3 linked regions of the Danio rerio genome follow. The protein of the gene in region 1 purifies or fractionates together with the protein of each later gene. This does not show direct contact. Links are inferred from orthologs where the notes say so. Each region holds a gene or a part of one and is shown on either strand. Other genes may lie near its edges.

The links. Proteins that work in one complex are often made in the same cells at the same time.
Region 2: the proteins of npm1b (region 1) and rpl6 purify together in Homo sapiens (affinity purification with mass spectrometry; 4 studies listed by BioGRID and IntAct, with this or other methods). This does not show direct contact. The link is inferred for Danio rerio from reciprocal best matches to the Homo sapiens genes NPM1 and RPL6.
Region 3: the proteins of npm1b (region 1) and abt1 purify together in Homo sapiens (co-immunoprecipitation; 3 studies listed by BioGRID and IntAct, with this or other methods). This does not show direct contact. The link is inferred for Danio rerio from reciprocal best matches to the Homo sapiens genes NPM1 and ABT1.

The regions. Positions count from the first base shown.
Region 1 is NC_133189.1:6,154,162-6,160,097, forward strand, and holds part of npm1b (nucleophosmin 1b), read right to left. Parts: intron 4,478-5,936; coding exon 4,392-4,477; intron 1,961-4,391; coding exon 1,903-1,960; intron 1-1,902. UniProt on the Homo sapiens protein: Involved in diverse cellular processes such as ribosome biogenesis, centrosome duplication, protein chaperoning, histone assembly, cell proliferation, and regulation of tumor suppressors p53/TP53 and ARF.
Region 2 is NC_133183.1:3,721,904-3,726,337, forward strand, and holds the end of rpl6 (large ribosomal subunit protein eL6), read right to left. Parts: intron 3,713-4,434; coding exon 3,528-3,712; intron 1,902-3,527; coding exon 1,749-1,901; 3' UTR 1,718-1,748; downstream 1-1,717.
Region 3 is NC_133183.1:10,036,810-10,041,582, reverse strand, and holds the end of abt1 (activator of basal transcription 1), read left to right. Parts: exon of another isoform or gene 1-250; intron 251-456; exon of another isoform or gene 457-577; intron 578-2,355; coding exon 2,356-2,736; 3' UTR 2,737-3,056; downstream 3,057-4,773.

The sequences.
Region 1 (5,936 bases):
AACAACAACAACAACAATGACTGAATGTTTTGAATGAGAAGCTGTAATGTAGCTGTGGTGGTATGAATGAATGTAGGCGGAAACCATGCTATACCAATGTTGGGGACTCGGGGGTTTCACAGACCGTATCAAAATGCTGAGGACCAGCATTTATCCGGGATAATTAACAAAAAGGGGCTGGTGTCTTAAGATGGGCCTGAAATACAGGAGATCCCAGGAAAAACAGGAGTGTTGGCAGGTATGTCCACACATGCACTCTGCACTCTGACTACTTCAATATTGTTATTAAGCCGTGCTGACCATTTCACTCTGTCTCACGCAAAACGCAGTCGACCAGTCGCAACAGGCTGACGTCAGCCCAATCAGCGCAGATTAGTTTCACGCTGAGCAGGGATTCGGGAACAAATGAATCGCTGAACAAAAAATATGGGAGTCACTGGGATAATTAGGTAAAAATAAATGCATATAAGACAATGAAAATGTTTTTGACCTAGCATGCATATCAGCCTGTTGTTGGAGACACTTAAACCAAAATATGACCATTTTTAATGTATAATAGGGGCTCTTTAAGTGATTTGTTTGCCTGATAATGCCACATCAGCAGCTTACATATACAGTTGAAGTCAAAATGATTCGACCTCCTGTGAAGTTTTTTTTCTTATTAAATGTTTCCCAAATGATGTTTAACAGAGCAAGTATTTCCTATAATATTATTTCTTCTGGAGAAAGACCAAATTGTTTTATTTTGGATAAAGTAAAAGCAGCTTTATTAAAAGTGCTATTTTAAGGTCAATATTATTAGCCCTTTTAAGCTATTTTTATCATGTACAGAACAAACCATCATTATACAATGATTTGCCTAATTACCCTAACTTGCCTAATTAACCTAGTAAAGTCTTTAAATGTCACTTTAAGCTGAATACTATCTTGAAAAATATCTAGTAAATTATTATGTACTGTCATCATGGCAGAGATAAAATAAATCAGTTATTAGAAATGAGTTACTAAAACTATTTTGTTTAGAAATGTGTTAAAAAAAAAAACTCTCCGTTAAACAGAAATTGGGAGAAAAAAATATACAGGGGGGCTAATAATTCTGACTTCAACTATGTGTGACACGTTGCTAAAAACATTATTACACATATATTAAACTAGAGTAAAAATTGCTTATTTTTGCATTGTTTAGAGCAAAATGATCATTACATTACATTCCACATAGAGAGAGAAAGCAAGTATGAACAGACATGAGAAATGGATATGAACAAGATGATAAAGATGGCACCAAAAGACACTTTAGTTATTAAAATGTGAAGGAAAGAATATAAAGTGCTCTCGAAGCTGATGGGGTGAATACAGGTGCTGAAAGATTCTGAGTCTCTCTCAGGAAGAGACTGGCACCTGCTGGTCACTCTGGTGTTCACTTCGGAACACAGTGGGAACATGGCGAAATGTAACATGCAATGTGAACATGTTTCAAAGTATGGAGAAAAGAAGATTTTTATCAAATAAAAACAGAAAATAAAAAAACCTGGAGTTATCCTGAAAAACTCAGCTTTGCATCACAAATGTTTTGCATCTTAGAATATATTAGGAAAATATAATTTAGTTTATTAACAGTTTTTAACAGTAATTACTATTACTAACTAATAATACACAGTAATATTAATAAACTGTTATGTTTTACAATATCACACAATTGCTGTCTTGGAAAACTCTAAAAATGTAGAAAAAAAATTAATACAGTAATTCCAATATTGTGAAATATCATTACTGTTAATCACTATTATTTTAAAAGTTAAAATATATATTTTTATTTAATATAATCCTGTTCTTTATATATATAGCATAAGTACCAAACTTCTTTTTCCAAATATTCTAAACAAAAAAAGCAGGAAAACTTACTTTTTGAGTGGATTTGACAGGGCTCTTTACAGCAGGCTTTTCTTGTTTGTCATCATCCCTAAAGATAGATAAAATTAATTTCAACATCTGAACATTTGAAGTGGATCTTAACATTTGAAGTGGATAAAATAAAGATTTTAAAAAATTGTCCCAAGACAAGAATGGGTGTTGTTGGTAGCTTCAAATGTTGACAACTGTGTATATATATATATATATATATATATATATATATATATATATATATATATATATATATATATATATATATATATATATACATATATATATGTGTGTGTGTGTGTGTGTGTGCATGTGTGTGTATGTATGCAAAAAACGATGCTAGAGTTTGAGATTCTTTAAAAAAAAAAAAAGTGTCATTGTGCAAGCAGCAGCAGTTGCCGCTTTCACTTTAACCATTCTTTGAAAAGATTATTAATGGGCTTTTTCCAGAGATGGGTTGCGGCTGGAAGGGCATCCTCTGCGTAAAAACATGCTGGATAAGTTGGCGGTTCATTCCGCTGTCACGACCACGGATTAATAAAGGGACTAAGCCAACAAGAAAATGAATTAATTAATTAATGGGCCTAACATTAACCGTGTGCAGGTGATCATCCTTTCATTATGGCATGTTTTTCACCTGCTTTCTTTTACAGTTATTGTTTTATTAATTATGGTATATTAATCATCCTTTACAATACCATTGCTTTATTAGTAGATTAACTTCCCATTTATTTGTAGTTAACTGGTGTTCTGGGACCTTTAGCCAGTACAGACTACTGTTCATACTTCTAGATACATGACAATAAATATTTTTAAAATGTCAATTGTATTTTTTTAAAGAAAAGTTTTGTTGAATAAAAAGTGTTTGTTTACAGCTATATTTGGCTTGTTTTGAAAATTTCTAATTATTTTAAATTTGTGGATAAGAATTTTTTTTTTTTTGAGTTTTGTTTTTTTTGGTGTAGCCAGATAATAATAAGGTAAATCTGTAGTGTTGATCCCTGTTAAGTCTTGTGAAACAAGAACTATTTGCAATGCAGCACTAAAATCTATTTGCTCATGCTCATTGTACGAGGTCATACACAACACACAAAACGTGAAATAAATAAGGAGTCATGTAGACATAGCACAACTTCTAAATTAAAAAGTTTAGCATGCCAAAATCAAATATATGCATATAAAATGTATTCTCCTTACAACAAAATTGTAGGTCGTGAAAATGGCGAGTGGCTAGTAATGTTGAAAAACTACTAGCCACAGTCACTAATATAAATATAAATATATATATATATATATATATATATATATATATATATATATATATATATATATATATATATATATATATATATATATATATTACTCATAAATTATAAATAAATAAATTCGTATTCATAAATTACCTTTCACGTGAATGTGCAAATTGTATTTCACATTCGCCCTGGATTTGTGATTGTTTATATTTTTGAGACTTTCCAGGCAGCACACAACTCTCACACAGATCACTTTTTAGCAAATCAGATGAGACGTCATTGTTCAACCAATCATACCTCAAAGAGAGCAATGTAATTGAGGTACTCCACTTGGCAAACCATTTATGTAATCAGACTTAATTTAGAAAGGAATAAACACACACACAAATCTAAGTTGATTCACACATGAAAGACGATTTGCCCATTTGATTTGCGTAGTAATGTAAAACAAATTTTAAACATTTACAACTTTTTGTACACTGTTATACATTTTTAATTTGTAATATACATTGTTGACATTTCTAAAATGATTTTTTGAATATACAGTTAAAGTCAGAAATATAAACCCCCTTTTAATTTTAAATTTATTTTTTATATTTCCCAAATGATGTAACATAGCAAGAAAATTTTCACAGTATGTCTGATAATATTTTTTCTTCTAGAAAAATTCTTATTTGTTTTATTTCAGCTAGAATAAAAGCAGTTTTTAATTTTTTAAATACCATTTTTGGGGACACAATTATTAGCCCCTTTAAGCTATTTTTTTTTTCCGATAGTCAACAGAACAAACCATTGTTATACAATAACTTGCCTAATTACCCTATCCTGCCTAACTAACATAATTAACCTAGTTAATCGTAGTTAAACACTTTAAGCTGTATTGAAGTGTCTTAAAAAATATCTAGTCAAATATTATTTACTGCCATCATGGCAAAAATCAAATAAATCAGTTATTATAAATGAGTTATTAAAACTATTATGCTTAGAAATATGTTGACAAAATCTTCTCTCCGTTAAACAGAAATTGAGGAGAAAAAATAAACGAGGGCTAATAATTTAGGGAGGCTAATAATTCTGACTTCAACTGTATAATTTAATTGTATGCATGTAAACTGTTTTTATGATTATATATATTTTGTCATATACTTAAGTATAAATGAACCTTATTGAAGTAGTTCACTGCGTGTAAAAACTTTCAATGAAACACTTTATAACTGAACAAACTTGAGCTCTTACTCTTCTTCATCATCATCATCATCGTCGTCGTCGTCGTCATCATCATCGCTGTCTTCATCCTCATCTGAGTCCATTTTCAGCTTTTTCTAAATAAAAAAAAAGAAAAAAAATACCTCTATTAGAAGCAGAAAATTAGATGATATAATCATATTACATTATATTTAAACTATAGTTATGCAATTATATTACTTATTTTTATATTCCTGGTGTCTCAATTTTATGAAGTAATAAGCAGCAAAAAATAAATAAGCATTGCAGTTATTTTTTGGCCAGTAAATCACATCCTTAAAAAGAAAGTCCCTCAAAATGAAAAATCCTGTCATCATTTACTCACCCTTAACTTGAACGCAAAAGAAGATGTTTTGAAAAATGTTGAAAACCTGTGACCATTGATTTCCATAGTATTTGCTACAACGGAAGTCAATGGTTACTGGATTTTTACATTAAAAAGAAACTCATAAAATGATGAAACCACATGAGGGAGAGTAAACAGTGAGTACATTTTTCATTTTGGGGTGCACTATCCATTTAACCCTAGTAAAACTCACTGGAAGTGACAGCATCTCACGGCTTGCTGCTTTAATAGGAATTCTGGGATCATTTCAACACCCTGACAAATAATTTCAAACAAACTCTCTGTGTATCACATTGACGGCAAGCTGTTGCTTGTCTCAGACACTTATCTAGAGGATTAAGTGTGTATTGAACAATGTGTCTCTTTATTGAGATTCCATGAAAGTCAACAAGGAAACTTTCACACATCTTTTTTAAATGTTTCTGGACATCTTGTTGACACCCTAATTTCTTAAGAACAAATAAAAAGGACAACCAGTTCCTGTTGTAGTTTTTTCCCCTGGTACAAATATCTTAACAATAGTAAACCAAAAAAAAAAGCAACAAACAAATATAAGTCAAAATTATTCATCCTGCTGTGAATTTTTTTTTTTATCTTACTCAAATATTTCCCAAATTATGTATAACAGAGTGATGAATTTCTCACAGTATTTGCACTAATATTTTTTTTCTTCTTGAGAAAGTCTTATTTGTTTTGTTTCAGCTAGAATAAAAGCAGTTTTTAATTTTTGGTTGTTTTTTGCGTTATTTCGAGCAAATTTGTTCTTCTGTTTTGAAACAAATTTTTGAAGCTGCCTCACGGCAATAAGATCCTTGTGTGAATTCCAGCATGTAGAGTGGATGTTTGTACAGGTGAGTACAATGTGACGCGTTTGAGTATGCAGCATTAATTCATGAGAAAGACTTGGTTCAAACCAATCAGTGCGCTCTATTGTGTATGCGGTGCAACTTCATTAATATGCAAGATAGCTTCTAAGACTGTTTTTACCTGTTACAGTGTTCAGAGAAATGCCACGATGTGTTGCCAAATCAAGTGGAAGAAGAAGAATCGTTTGGAGAAACAGGTCATCAGTGTTGTGTTTATTAATGTGCTGCAATGAAGGTTTTGTTTTTATTTCCCCGCTATGAGAGCGCAGCTGGACTCATGTGTGGATTACAGTGCACGCAACAGAAGTACGTTTGTAAGGAACA
Region 2 (4,434 bases), on another chromosome or scaffold:
TTTTGTAACCACTGCTGGAAAACGCAGTGACTCATTTTATAACCCACTCAAAAAAATCAAGCTTAATACTTCGTACTTTAGAACATGAATATCAAACTGGATTCCTGGAGGGCTGGTGTACTGTATAGTTTAGCTCTAGCTTGCTTCAACAAAAAAGTTTCTGTAAACATAGAGTTTGATTAGCTGGTTCAAGTGTTTAAATGAGGATTGGAAATAAAATATGCAGGACACGGCCCTCCAGGATCAAGTTTGGACACCCCTGCTTTAGAACATTGGTCTCAAACTGGATTCCTGGAGGGCCGCAGCTCTGCAGTTTTGCTTCAACCCTAATCAACCACAGCTGATGCAAATAATCAAGGCGTTCAAGAATACTAAACACTGTTACGCAGGAAGTTTGAGACCACTGCAGTGGATTGATTTAGCTCTGCAACTGTTGTCAAATAAAAGATCACAAAATGCTACTTTAGAATTTGTAGTTTCAACTTAAAATGTGGATGATTTGCTCATAATTAGCTTTAAACTTCTGGGTAATCTTAGGGTAATGCATATTTTATATAATATACAATATATACACATTCACTTCACAAACTTGAATGTATGCAACCTATTGTATGAGATCAAGCTTAAATCTGTGCACTAAAGCATTTAAAACCATTAAAACTTCAAGCTGAATGCCATTTTCACATTCATGTTTAAGAAAAGACAGTTACGGGGTTAAATAACCTGCTTGTTTTTGTAACCAATGGTGGAAAACACAATGACTCATTTTATAACCCACTGAAAAACAATTAAGCTAAAAACTTCATACGTTAGAACAGGGGTTGGAGCTAAACAGAGCTGTGGCCCTCAAAGAATTGAGCTCGAGACCACTGCAGTGAATTGATTTAGCTTAAACCAGGGATGTACAAACTCCGTCCTGGAGGGTCGCTATCCTGCGTAGTTTAACTCAACTAGCTTCAACACACCTGCCTGGAAGGTTCTAGTATACCTAGAAAGAGCTTGATTGGCGGGTTCAGCTGTGTTTAATTGGACTTGCACTAAATTATGTAGGACTGAGTTTGGACTCCCGTCCTAAACTGTTCAGTCAAATTAAAGACTACAAAATGTTACTATGGTATTTGATGTAGTTTCAACCTAAAATGGTGGATAATTTGCTCATAATTAGCTTTAAACGTGTGGTAAATGTTAGATTAATACATATTTTATATACATTCACTTCATAATCTTGAATGTATGCAACCTATCAAAGACCAAACTTAAACCTGTGCTCTGAAAACCACCAAAGCTTGAACATCATTTTCACATTCATGCTCAAGACAGACAGCCAAGGGGTTCAATAATCTACTTGTTTTTGTAACCATTGCTGGAAAACACAATCACTCATTTTATTTAAAAAAAAAAAAAAAAAAAAAAAAAGGCTAAATACTTCATACTTCAGAACAGGGGTCTTAAACTGGATTCCTGGAGGGCTGCAGCTCTGCAGAGTTACTTTAATCCTAATCAAACTCAGCTGATGTAGCTAATCAAGGTGTTCAAGACTACTAGACACTTAACTAAACTGAGCTGCGGCCCTCCAGGAATTGAGTTTGAGACCCCTGCTTTAGAATATTTATTAACAAAATGAATGATTAGCGATCTAAAAACAGATTCATGAAATAATTCTCCACCTCCAGCCTTCAACATGAGAAAACGACAACAAGAAACAAAGCAGCACAGAAACGGATCTGGGTTGACGTTTTATTAGCATTTTAGAAAACCAGTTTGTGTGGGTAGACTCCATTAGACAGGGAGAACATGGAGCGCAGGTAACCCCTGAGCTGAGGAACCTTCTTGATCAGAGGAAGCAGCTGAGAGTCCACTGCTTTCTGGTCTGCCTTGCGCTGCTCCGTCAACTGGTACTTCTGCAAACCACAGAAACACACAACATTAGGGGGGAAAATAAAAACAACCAGTAGCCATATTTCCATCAACATTTCTATGGGTTTTTGAAAAGTCTCAAAAAAAAGTGTAGATGTTCACTCACTATTAAATGGCCATTAAAAAATACGTTAAGTTACAAGTACTATTTTTAACTGATTGGGTGCATTTAGGTGTGCTAAAAATCATTTAATGAATAAATGACAGTATGCGGAGCAAGAAGAAGTCATGCGATTGTGTTTTTTCAAAGAGTTCAGCAACAGTACTAGTTTAAGTACTAAATCTCAGAATAAACTGACTATATTCATGGCTGTTTATTTGCACAGATTCTGCATGATACCTAAACCCAACTATAACCCTAACTATTAATAAGCAGTGTGAAGTTTGGAGCAACAGAAGGAGTTTGAGCTGAAAGTCTTAATCATTGGTTTGTCAATAGTGAGAATTGGTGCTGCACAATAAATCGTTTAAGCATCTATAATAAGTGATAGTTATGGTAATTTATTAAATATTAAAATATAAAGAAATAACATTAGTATTTTAAAACAATTTCTACAATAATGACCATGTTATTTTATGCTTGATTGTTCAAGTTCTGTACCTGAATACTATTAGACCAGTGTTTCTCAACCATGTTCCCGGAGGATCACCAGCACTGCATGTTTTGGATGTCTCCTTTGTCACACTCATTAGTCTTTCAGTCTCTACTAATAAGCTAATGATCTAAATCAGGGGTGCTTGGTTACGGAGACATGGGAAAACGTGCAGTGCTGGTGATCCTCCAGAAACATGGTTGAGAAACACTGTATTAGACTCCAGAAAACCATATTTAACATCTTTGCTCTGTTGAATTTATATATGCTTGTAATTTAATATTTATTCATTTTCCTTTAGCTTGGTCCCTTTATTTATCAGGGGGGGGGGGGGTCGCCAACTGTGTATTGGGTGTTTCCCAGTGCTGGGTTGCAGCTGGAAGGGCATCCGCTACATAAAACATTCGTAATTTAATACATTTCATGCAAAGCACTGTATAGAACAATAATTTATCCCAATCTATATAAATTAAAGAAGCCTTACTAATAGAGCCATTCAATTCATCTGGTGACATTATTCATAATCACAACAAAATATATATATATAAATATATATATATATATATATATATATATATATATATAAATATATATATATATATATATAAATATATATATATATATATATAAATATATATATATATATATATATATATATATATATATATATATATATATATATATATATATATATATATATATAAATATATATATATATAAATATATATATATATATATATATATATTTTTTTTTTTTTGTGATTATGAATAATGTCACCAGATGAATTGAATGGCTATATAATAAAATAATATATATATGGCAGATATCTGGAGGTTATCAACTATGTTTGCTTATAATAATTGTTTAAAGCCATTAGTTACTAGTTGATCAGTTTTAAGTTATTAGTAAGTAATGAAATTATGGTAATAACTAACATTTTCGCGCTGCACTAGTGAGAATTGTACATTAAAATAAATGGTGACCCATAAAAGAAGTAAATAAATGAGCTATCTGACCTCCTTCTCGGTGTCGAAGATCTCTCCCTCCTGGTGCTTGGGTTTCCTCAGCTTCTTCTTCTTGAAGTAAGAGTCGGTCAGTGTTCTGGGGATCTTCATGCCAGAGATGTCCACTTTGGTGTTTGTGGCGATGCAGAACTTCTGGTGAGCTCTACGCAGAGGGACGCGGTTGATAGCCAGAGGACCTGAGAGAGACACACCAGAGCACAATCAATTATTCAACACCGCAAAACTGCAACAAAACCCCAGCATGGCTGAATGATACTGGGGAAACTCACTGAAGGAGACTTTACCTTACTGATAAGCAAAATATACAGGCAGTTGTGATATGGAAAGCCTTCATGTAGGAACAATTATACACGAGATTCGAGTTAGAGAAAGAAACATTTACTGCAATATGAGTCTTTAACAGGTCACATTTACACTGTTACATTGAGTATGGGTGCAATATTTAAAGTCTTATATTATCATTAGTTTAAGGTTAGAGTTGTGTTTATGGAGTTAAACTGCAACAAAATCCCAGTATGGCTGCATGATACTGGAGAACAACACTGACAGGATGACTTTTCCTTTCTGACGTAGAAATTAAACAGACATTTTTACCAGACAATTATTTTCCTCTATTTTTATAGGGATTTTACAATGTAGATTGTGTTAAAGCAGCTTAACATTGACGTTCTAGTAAATTGAAACAGTGCCAGTGCAGTTTTCAGAGTTGAAGTTCAGTTCAGTGTGGTTTAATATTCAATACTGAGAGTCCAAACACTGAAGAGCATTCATTGAGCAAGAATCATCATCAATTGGAGTTCTTCACAGGGCTTTACACTGTGACTAATGCAGCATAGAGTATGGGTGTGATATTAAGTCATACACTATCGTCATTATTATTAAGGTAAGAGCAGAGTCA
Region 3 (4,773 bases), on another chromosome or scaffold:
ATTGAGAAGTCTTTTAAAGGAAATTAACACCTTTAATTCACAAAGATGCATTTAAATCATCAGAAGATACATTTGAATTCAGCATGAAATGGAAGTTAAGATCTTGCTAACATCTTGACACACAACTGGGGATGCAACGATTAACAAGTTTCACTAATAACCACGCTTTCATTCATCACAGCACAGAACAAAACTGCTGGCAACTAAACAAAGTTATGTCAACTGTGCAGTAGTTTAAATTTCTAAGCATGTACACCGAGGCTAATACCCATTCACACTTTATTAACTAAGGCTAATTATTTTTTTTTTTAGATGCAGTCCTTGAGGGCTGGTGTCCTGGAGAGTTTAGCTCCAACCCTAATTTAACACACCTGAATCAGCTAATCAAGCTCCTATTAGATATACTAGAAACTTCCGGGCAGGTGTGTTAAAGCAAGTTGTAGCTAAATTCTCCAGGACACCGGCCCTCCAGGACCGAGTTTGGGCACCCCTGCATCAGACAAATACTATTTATTTATTCTTACTTTTAATTATTTTTACTGCATTTCCAAACATTTAAATGCACTCATTCTGAGCGAAAAAGACTTTGAAAACATTTTAAAGTATAAATATAACGTTATACAGGGTGGCCCATTTATATGGATACACCTAAAAAAATGGGAGTGGTTGGTGATATTATTGTCCTGTTTGTGGCACATTAGTATATGTGAGGGGGCAAACTTTTCAAGATAGGTGGTGACCATGGTGGCCATTTTGAAGTCGGGCATCTTGGATCCAACCTTTGTTTTTTTTTTCAAAAGTAAGACAGTCATTTGACACTTTCTCCTGCGGTGTTGCAATCAGTGTGTGAAGAGTTTTAGAAGAGGGTTGCATTGACAATCTAACACAATGGGCAGCACATTGAACACATTTAATAAGTGGTCAGAAACTTTGAAATAACACATGAAAGAATAAATTTACGTTAAAACTAATCACACCATTGTTTTTCTTGTGAAATTCCCAATAGGTTTGATGTGTCAAATGACCCTCTTCCTATTGAAAAAACAAAAGTTGGATCCAAGATGGCCGACTTCAAAAGGGCACCATGGTCACCACCCATTCTGAAAAGTTTGCCCCCTCCTATATACTAATGTGCCACAAACCGGACGTTAATATCACCAACCATTCCCATTTTATTAAGGTGTATCCATATAAATGGCCCACCCTGTAGACATAGTTCCAAAAACATTCGCAATGTTAAAGAATAGCATAGTTCACGCACTCCAAAAAATGTTTAAACTACTTATTTAGAATGAGCTAAAACAACACAATTCCTGAGATTATTTTTGGGACGACTCAATTGTTTTAAATCAATTAACTTGATTTGTGAACTTGATTTGAAAAAATTATTTGTGTTGGGACAACATAAATTAATCGTGTGGAGCCCTGCACTTTTTACAGTGCACCACAACTTTAACGATAAAGATACAGAGGATCGATATCATTGGGATCACTTTCAGAATTATTTTTCCTCGCTAATGAATGATAAAATCCCGACAGCCAGTCAGAATCCATTGAAAATGAACACAATTCACAATTATTTATTTATTTATTTTTCTAAATTAGTTTTTATTGATTTTATAGGAACATATAACCAGTGGGAACAAAACAAGCAAATAAAAAATAAATAAATAAAAAATACACATATAAATAAATATACATATGTATACATACTTTTATAGGCAAACACATCCATTCCACACATGTATATCCATATACACACATGCATAAAAATATTAAATTAACCTCATTAAAATAAATAAGTATAAAATAAATTATAATAAAAGGTTGCCAAACATATTTTCACAATGATACATAACCTCTAGAATTACGTAAATATTCAGTTATAAATAATTATTTTGTCGTTGAGGAGAAAGCCAGCCATTTACTCCATTTCTTTCCAAAGGTTTCTAATTGTGATCGAAGTGCATGTGTCATTTTTTCCATTTCCTTTATTTCTGCTATAATTTTGAACCATTCATCTTTAGTTGGTGGCTCTTCTTTATAACATTTCTGGGTTATAGCTTTTTTACTTGTTGCCAAAAATATCTTAAATAGATATTTATTTTCCTTTTTAAGATTATCAGGAGTATCTCCTAGATAAAGTACTTCAAATGATCTAGGAATATAAGGAAACAAAAATATAATTGATGGTGTAGTGCACAATTCTTGAGCATTGACGATTCATAATTGTAATGATTTTACTGCATGTCCAAGCAATTAAATGCACTCTTGCTGACTTCTTTCATAAACTTTGAATACATTTGATTTCAAAAAGCAGTGTATTGAACAATAGCATCCCTCTCTTCCATTAAGTATCTGCACAGGTTCCAGTGGTGTCATCTCAGCGAGCGTTTGGCCTACGAACAGACAGTTTATCACCAGCGCATGAGGACCGAAATCTCTCAGGCTAAGAAGGAGACCAACTTCTACCTGGCCAGCGTGGAAAAGAGCCAGAGCCTGGAGAAACTCCGGAAGAAGAGGGCGAAGAAGGGAGAGGTCGTGGAGGAGAAAACGTGGGACTACAAACAGCGTCCTACAGAGGAGGAGATCCACCTGAAACGCTTTAAGAGCAAAGGCATTTCCAAGAAGAGCCTCCAGAAGGCGCAAGAGAAGAGCAAAAGCATCCAGGACAAAGCACAATCCAACGTATCCCTCCTGGCCAAGATCTTCAGCAGTAGCAAAGCCCGGGATTGATGCGCTGAGAACGTTCAGGTGCTTTCAGCTTTCGTTGACACCACAGAGTATAATCAAGGAGTTTTCTTGTGTATTTGAGATGCATTTTTCAGATTATTTGGCAACGTACAGATTCTAAACTCATGTTTTGCAGCATTTTTGACAGAATAGATGTAACTCACATGCAGAGTGTTCTGATTTATATATCTCAGCAGTAAAAACGCTGCACTATCATTCTGAAAAAGTCTTTATTTTCCCTTGAAAAGAAACTGAATGTCAAATTTTGTTGAAAAACAAGGCTAAAAATCTGTCATTATTAAAAAAAACGACTAATATCCCAATTGTGAATTAGGTGGGTTTTCATCAAGTTGTTAACGCTCATTCATACCAAGCACGTCACGATAACTATTAATATAATGAAAAAGATAGTTGTAAAAGTCAATCACAGTGTTAAAGAAGAGCATAGTTCACAACACTTTGACAGAACAGACATAACCCACAGTAGATTGTTCTGATTTTATATCTTTAACAGTTAATTCAATTCAGCTTTATTTGTATAGCGCTTTTACAATGTAGATTGTGTCAAAGCAGCTTCACATAAATGGTCATAGTAACCGGAATAGTTTAGCTCAGTTCAGTGCGAGTTAAAACAGTGGACTATCATTCTGGAAAAGTCTTTATTTTCTCAATGATGTCTTCTGAAACAATATTGGATTGCTGGTTCATGAATTTATACACTGATTCTGTGTCATGCCAAAGTAATTTTGTTGAAAAACAAGGCTAAAAATCTGTCATTATTAAAAAAAACGACTAATATCCCAATTGTGAATTAGGTGGCTTTTCATCAATTTAAGGCCCTTTCACACCAAGCACGATAATTATGAATATAATGATAAAGTTCTGAAAGTCATTCACAGTATTTAAGGATAGCATAGTTCAGACCACAACAACTACAACGATAAAGATACAGAAGGACCATATCGTGGGATCACTTTTGGAACAATTTTTTCAACAACCAGTCAGAATAAATTGAAAATTAAATTCTTGCTTAATTTAAACACACAGGAAACACTAGCTATGGTTACATCCCCCTATTTTATGCACATTATGAATATGCACATAAAAAAAGGTTGATGGAAACGCCAAGATGCTCATAAAATCTAAAAATACACATTACCGAGTAGGATGTGCACATAACAGAGTAAGATATGCACATAACCGAGTAGAATAAACTTTTTTGTTTGATAAGAAAAAATGTGTTTAAACTGTAATGGAAGTTCTAGCTATGTTTCTTTCTTAATATGCTAATTAAATTTATGCGCTAACTGGAATCTCGTATATAAGACATGAATAAAGCAGCGTTTCCATCCAAGTAGTCAAAGAGAGCAAAATCATCACTTCCTGATTAACTGGGGCCAAATATCAAAAGTAAAATTGGAATTTCCTGCGGTAGGAAAAGCTGCGTGAATGTTTTTCTTTATTTAATAAATGAATTTAATAAAATACTAAGCTGACACGCAATGAACGCGTGGTGGCGTTTAAAGGCGTCAGAGCATAGTCGTGGTCTGCTCTGTGTCTCAAGTCTGCCAACGTGCGTCGAGCTAGCAGATAAACGTAACAGCGGGAAAGCCATCCATACGGAGGTAAGCTGTCAGCTGGTAGCGCGAAAAGGAACTGCGACATACCGCCCCAAAGTGTTTGTATTAATGTATGGACACAGCTGATTGGTCACATGCGAGTTATTTTCGCTACATCAGAGTTTATTTGGCAACTGCATTTTTGTCTCCTATTATTCAAATTAAAACTTTCACAAAAGATCAAAACCAAACTCGAGTGAGTGTAAAAACTTTTTCAAAATGAAATAAAGGGATTTGTATTCTAAATTGGACATTTTTTCCATTATTCTTTTTTTATGCGCTACTTTAAGCGTCACTCGGCTATTATGTGTTTAACTTCCTGAAATGTGGGATGTTTTTCAGTACATTTTGTCTAAAATTGAATTGATTTGATTCAATAATTTGATTCAACAATTTGCAGTAAATGCTTTAAACCATTGAG